Caenorhabditis elegans: one gene and its partner. The protein of the gene in region 1 purifies or fractionates together with the protein of each later gene. This does not show direct contact. Each region holds a gene or a part of one and is shown on either strand. Other genes may lie near its edges.

Evidence for each region. The genes of interacting proteins can lie anywhere in the genome.
Region 2: the proteins of tba-2 (region 1) and psf-1 fractionate together in Caenorhabditis elegans (co-fractionation; one large-scale study listed by BioGRID). This does not show direct contact.

What each region holds. Positions count from the first base shown.
Region 1 is NC_003279.8:12,964,210-12,967,964, forward strand, and holds tba-2 (Tubulin alpha-2 chain), read right to left. Parts: upstream 2,063-3,755; 5' UTR 2,055-2,062; coding exon 1,362-2,054; intron 1,312-1,361; coding exon 791-1,311; intron 738-790; coding exon 605-737; 3' UTR 465-604; downstream 1-464. Other genes in the region: C47B2.2 (Phosphoribosyltransferase domain-containing protein), read right to left, coding at 195-361; pbs-2 (Proteasome subunit beta), read right to left, coding at 3,179-3,433, 3,492-3,755. UniProt on the Caenorhabditis elegans protein: Tubulin is the major constituent of microtubules, a cylinder consisting of laterally associated linear protofilaments composed of alpha- and beta-tubulin heterodimers.
Region 2 is NC_003280.10:9,967,148-9,970,280, reverse strand, and holds psf-1 (putative DNA replication complex GINS protein PSF1), read right to left. Parts: upstream 1,609-3,133; 5' UTR 1,601-1,608; coding exon 1,502-1,600; intron 1,456-1,501; coding exon 1,391-1,455; intron 1,323-1,390; coding exon 1,247-1,322; intron 1,196-1,246; coding exon 1,106-1,195; intron 1,061-1,105; coding exon 851-1,060; intron 771-850; coding exon 705-770; 3' UTR 651-704; downstream 1-650. Other genes in the region: R53.5 (Peroxiredoxin-like 2A), read left to right, coding at 27-158, 203-422, 467-588; R53.4 (Putative ATP synthase subunit f, mitochondrial), read left to right, coding at 2,234-2,349, 2,414-2,657, 2,704-2,805.

The DNA.
Region 1 (3,755 bases):
GAAAATCGCTTTTTAAGGCAAAAAAGGAGTTTATTTAAAATCAACAAGTTTTTCCGGCAAAAATACCGAAAATCGTTAATTTTTCCGCAAAATCTGGAAAAAGAGCTTGGAAATATGAGTTTTCAGCCCCTTTCTTTAAATTTTCACCCATAAAATGTTTGAGGCTTCAGTCTATTCCCAGTCAAACTTCATACCTATCTTTCAAAATTGTCTGCAATTCAAGTATCTGTGGAGTCTTCTTCAAAAGAACAAAATTTGTTCCCTTCTCTTTCAGATTTGCCACCAACTGCCCGACACCGTCTTCCTCATCACCAACCTTTGGAATCACTGGAGCACATGTTCCATTCACATGCCCAGCCATTTCTGTAATCTAATACTGATCGATGAGCAGAACAAGCGTCTGCTGCTCAAATACTGTCGGCTTGTACATGTTTGCTCTGCGGCACTCAACTCGGTATAAACGTAAAGTGTTCCGACTTTCATTCTTTCTCTTTTTAACAAAAAACATTATATAAATAAAATACTTCATAATACATTGTTTATGACGATCGAACTGCAGTAATAAATTAAAAGTCAATCGCCAGGCAGTTGATTGTGGGAGCATCTAGTACTCCTCTCCCTCCTCTTCTCCTCCCTCGTTGGAGTCAGCTCCGACCTCTTCGTAGTCCTTCTCGAGAGCAGCCAAGTCCTCACGAGCCTCGGTGAACTCTCCTTCCTCCATACCTTCTCCGACGTACCTGAAAAGAAACACATTGAATATTTGAAAAGTATAGTTTAACGGGCAACATACCAGTGGACGAAGGCACGCTTGGCGTACATCAAGTCGAACTTGTAGTCGAGACGAGACCAGGCCTCAGCGATGGCGGTAGTGTTGGAGAGCATGCAGACGGCGCGTGGCACCTTGGCAAGATCACCTCCTGGCACAACAGTTGGTGGCTGGTAGTTGATTCCGACCTTGAATCCGGTTGGGCACCAATCGACGAATTGGATGGTTCTCTTGGTCTTGATTGCAGCGATGGCGGTGTTAACGTCCTTTGGAACGACGTCTCCTCTGTACAAGAGGCACACAGCCATGTACTTTCCGTGACGTGGATCACACTTGACCATCTGGTTAGCCGGCTCGAAGCAGCTATTGGTGATGTCGCTGACGGACAGAGCCTCGTGGTAGGCCTTCTCAGCAGAGATGAGTGGAGTGTAGGCGGCCAATGGGAAGTGAATTCTTGGGTATGGCACCAAGTTGGTCTGGAACTCGTTGAGATCAACGTTGAGGGCTCCATCGAATCTCAAGGAAGCAGTGATTGAGGAGACAACCTGTAAAAAGAGAACATTAGAATACAACAATCAAATTGAGCTCAACAAACCTGGGAGATGATTCTGTTGAGGTTGGTGTAGCTTGGTCGCTCAACATCCAAGTTTCTGCGGCAGATGTCGTAGATGGCCTCGTTATCGACCATGAAGGCGCAGTCGGAGTGCTCCAAGGTGGTATGGGTGGTGAGGATCGAGTTGTATGGCTCAACGACGGCGGTTGAGACCTGTGGAGCTGGGTAGATGGAGAACTCGAGCTTGGACTTCTTTCCGTAGTCGACGGAAAGACGTTCCATAAGAAGCGAAGTGAATCCGGATCCGGTACCTCCTCCGAAGGAGTGGAAGACGAAGAATCCTTGGAGTCCACTGCAGTTATCAGCGAGACGACGGATCCTGTCGAGGACGGTGTCGATGAGCTCCTTTCCGACGGTGTAGTGTCCACGAGCGTAGTTGTTAGCGGCGTCTTCCTTTCCGGTGATCATCTGCTCTGGATGGAAGAGCTTCTTGTAGGTTCCAGTGCGAATCTCGTCAACGACAGTTGGCTCGAGATCGACGAAGATGGATCTTGGAACGTAACGGCCGGATCCGGTGTCTGAGAAGAAAGTGGTGAACGACTCTCCCTCGTTCGTTGATTGAGTTGGCATGGTTCCATCGGGCTGGATTCCGTGCTCGAGGCAGTAGAGCTCCCAGCAGGCGTTTCCGATTTGGACTCCGGCTTGTCCGACGTGGATAGAGATGACCTCACGCATTTTCTTTTCTGAAAAAGAAAATTATAAAGTTTTAAAAGAGAAAGACAATTGTTATATGAGAACGAAACGATTGCGGTGAGAGCAGAGACGAAAGTGAGCCCAAATAGGGCCGAGAACGCACGAGCGCGCGCGCTCTCTCAACATAGCCCAACATCGGACACCGCGGTGGACAAGTCATCGATTGCAAAAAAATGATGACGAAATAGCGGGGCGCCAGTGGAGAGCGGATTGAAATGAGTGCAAAGGAGTGGACTGCAAGGGAGCCAAAACCCCGTTGTAAGAGACCCAGAGAATAACAATGGGAATTTCGCAATTCCCAATGGGATTACTTTGAGTCATTTTGAAACATACGTGCTTTCGGAGATTAATCAAGGAAGATGCAGCAGAAAACCGTCTTGTGAAATCGCAAAATGATTTGAAAATGTTGAATTTCAACTTGAAGAAGCTTCACGTCTTCAAAATTCGATTTTACGTGAAAACAAACATTTTTGAAAGGGCCGGAACACGGCCGAATGAGGGTAAACTATGGAAAACTGATAAAATAATGATAAAATTTGGAATTTTTCGGAAAAACGACACTGATTACGACGGGGAAGGCAGGGAAATGAGTCAGAACAAGATACAAAAAAATGTTTCGCGCCAATGATTGGTGGGTGGAGCGTGTTTGCTATATGACCTGCACATCTAACTCTCTGCGCGGCAATTCAAATCGGATTATTTTTTTCTTGTGAGTTTTGACTCTTCTCTCTTGACTTTTGAGAAGAATTCAGGTGGAAATTAGTTTTTCGCAGAAAGTTTTCAATTCAGATCTGGAAAATCTATTCATTTCGCAGTTTTTTCCTTTTAAAACCCGGAGAGTAACTTTTACTATTGGGAAAAACACTTGAAAGCGTTTTTCAAGTCATTTTTCCGGCTTTCAGTCCAAATTAAGACAACAAACAATACCAGTTTTAAGGAAAATAGACAGTTTATATTCGGAATTTATAAAACAAATGTGATAAGAACTGCCGGCGGATACGAAAATACCGAAAAAAGTAATCACCGACGACACCGAAACGGATGGAAAATCGAAAAAAAATAAATAATTGGGGGAAAGAATACACACATCGACAGAAGACCGCAATTTAGTGAGTGATATCCATGGACTCGACGACGTCGTACTTGTAGGTCTTGTGTTTCAGCACCTTGGTGGCTCCGGCCTGGAATTTGTAGACGAGGTCGTTGGGCTCTGGTCGCTTGCAGAATTCTGGCACAATTGGCCCCTTGAAGACGGTCTCGCTTGGCTCGATGATCACAAGATTCAAACTGTTTCCTGAGGCGTTGTCACCGTGCATACCGGCTTCCAGGGCGCGTTGGACAAGCTTCTCGGCTTCATCTTTCTGAAAAATATAATTATAGTATTTTTAGCGCATTGGAATTCAAAAATAGACTACTTACCGTCATATCAACCTTAAAATCACGCTCCAAAATAGTGATAGCTGCATATGATCCAGATCCTTGAGCTGTGAATGGGAAGGCCATTGTAGTTCCGTTGGCGGAGCACATATAAAGATGTGGGCCAGTTGGATCGACTCCTCCAATGAGCAAGTAGGCTCCGATGTATCCTTGATAGTTGAAAAGATGCTGCTTAGCTTGACGAAGAGCGGTGATCACACGAGCCTTGCGCCCGGTGTTTAATTCCAGAAGACGGAGATTTCCAGA
Region 2 (3,133 bases), on another chromosome or scaffold:
AATTAAAATTATTTGAGAAGTTTCAGGCCGACTCGTTGTTCAAGAAAGGTCCGATCATGGTGATGGCTGTACGTCGTCCGGGATGTATGCTGTGCCGTCGTGAAGCTGCTGAATTGCACACACTGCTCCCGTTGCTCAAGGAAAAAGGAATCGAACTGGTAAGCGCTCCTTCAAAATAGAAAAATTAAAACTTTGCTTTCAGGCCGCCGTTGTGCACGAGACTCGTGGAGCAAATGAGTTCAAGTCTTGGTTCTCCGGCGGTGATGTCTATTTGGACACTGATCGCACTTTCTACGGTCCAAACGAACGCTGGCTGCCAGTTTGGATGGGATTTCTTCGTTTCGGAACTTACTCGAATGTTTACAAAGCAAAGAAAGCCAAGGTCGAGGGAAACATGGAAGGAGAGGGAAGACTTTTGGGAGGTACGAAAAATTATTAAAATTATTTTTTCATAATAATTGTTCAGGTGTTTATTTGATTGCTAACAACGACATCGTGTTCACTCATTTGGAGAAGGAGTGGGGAGATGCTGCCGATATCAAGGAAGTTCGTGCTGCCGTCGAGAAATTCTCGGAGAAGTCGAAATAATTTTTTAACTTATGTGTTTTCTTAATTAATTAAACGAGGCTACTTTTTTTGTAAAATAAACTGACAAGAAGCTATTTATACAGATCACAGGTTGAAAACAAAATACCGACAACAAGTCAATGAACAAGCTCGAGAACACCCTGACGTATCAGCATTTCGCAGTCTTGGCGTGGAAGGGAGTGCTGAAAAATGTTATACATTATTTAAAAAATTAAAAACGGGATTTCTCTTTTTTCAAATAAAGAAAAATTCGAAGACTTACCAAACTATCCTTGGACAGCTGAACTTGAGTTCCATCTGACGTTTCAAATTCTCCATAATCCTCGAGAGCTCTAACTTGTACAAAAAGTGACTTCGGTGGTGCAGAATGAAGCAGCAGATTAACACCACCTTCTCCAAGATTGCTTTGGAATCTTGCCAATGTGCTCGAATACTCATTGAAAAACTGAATTTCCGCATCGCAGAGGGCGTTCTGAAAAATAATGGTTGACAAATTTTAATCATGTGCACCGATTACCCTAACAGACGCGGGAAGAGCACCTCCATACTTCCATCTGAATGATCGAATCCTGTTTTTCCTCTCGTTCACATAGGCCATCATGCAACGCTGGAAAATTGAACCACTACAATATTTCAAAAATCGACCTTCTCGACTTACTCGAATATGGCACATTGCAGCTAAACGAGGTTGAAGAAGCGTAGAATCATGAGGGAGTCCTGCACGGATTTTTTCACTGAAAAATATGATTTTAAATCAAGAAGTCACGAACGAATCGGTACGCTTCCGAAATGTATCACTTACACGACGGCAGCATTCTTTTGAAACAACTCATCGATTTTCTGATAACATTGGCGTACAAGTTCTGTCTGAAAAGAACTCAAATTTAAAGCAGAAAATAGGATATAATTTTACGTTATAAGGCGGTAATACATCTGGATTTCTTTTCATCTCTAAAACAAGTTGTAGTGCTTTGTCGGCGACGCCTCCTCGATTCTGATCGCCGGAACTCATTTTTTGAACTGCAAAAATTAAAAGTTGATTTGAAAAATAAAATTTTAAAGGGAAATACTTGATTTTAAATATTAAATTCGAAAATAAAAAACATTAAATTTAAAGTCCTCGACTTTCCCACCATTTCGGCTCTTGTGAACTAGTTGTAGACTCGGCCACGGCCATGGGTCTCGCAGCGATTAGCCGAAATGTATCGCCGCCCGTTGAAAACTGCACACATTTTTCTTAAGCATTTTTTAAAAGTGGAATATTGACGATTTTTCATTATTTACTCAATTAATTTCTTCTAAAATCAAATATATCACTAAATTCTGAGTTAAATTCGTTTTAGGCGTTACTGAAACGTAATCCCATGGTCGATAATGATCAATGTTTACAAAAATACATGTTTATATTTAAAACAATATTTAGCACATAGTTAAGGATTATTGGAGCTGGAACGTTCTTTTTTAAATGTATATTCTTCCTGATATTCATGTGTATATTTGCTAAATTGAACAAAATGCCTGTTTTGGTTGTTTTTCTAATTAATTTCTTGTTTATTGATTATTTGGCTTAATCGTTACTCGATTCTCACTATTTAATTAAATATCTGGTTTATTTTTATTTTTTTAATTCTTCGAATTTTCAGTTATGGCCTGGTTCCGTCCTCCACCACCACACACTCAACTCAGACCATGGGTTCCGGACGCGATCTTTATCCCGATCTCTCGCGCCGTTGAGCGTGTCGGAGTGTTCTTCTACAACCGGTTTGTCATTGTCTGAAAACGACGAATAAAATTCTTTTCCAAAAATAACCGATATAATTTTTAGCGTGTTGAACAAGACCGAGGTTGGATTGTTCGACAAGAGATGGAACAAGAACGTTCACGGACCATACTGCCACTGGAGATACTACGGAAAGCTTGATACCAAGTTCATGGATGTGAAGCTAGGAGATCTTCCAGCCTGGATGGCTCGTCGTGAGAAGACCCCATCTGCCTTCTACAACGAGTTCATGCGCAATATCTGGAGAGTCCACAACCTCTATTACTCAGGACCAGTCTACAATAACACTGTTCGTTTAAATTTAAAAAAAAAATACTAATTTTTTTTATTTTTAGGTCAAGGTAATCTTCCGCTTCATCTTCGCCTACTCGTTCCTCAATTGGCTCGTCAAGTCTCACCGTTACGTCGATTTCCAGAAGACGATGTACCATTGGTAGACACCATCCGATTTCGTCTACTCTTCAAAGCTCCACATACAAACTCTGTCGCTGGGGGAGGACGAAACAGCCATCCGATTTTTTCGTATTCTTTTTTCCCCCAATTCATCTCATTCTCGAGACGTCTTCTGTTAATTTAGTCCCCTATCGATTTTGTCCGTTTGTGTCTTTTTTCTATGAGAGAATAAATAGTGTATGGATCGGTTGAATAGAAATATTAAGAAGAAGGTTAGATAGCCGATGCGATTTTCTGGATTTTTTCGCTGTCGGCTTTATCTTTAGATTTGAATCTGTAGATCTAAAGTTCCGATTCTATAGAAGCGCGTCT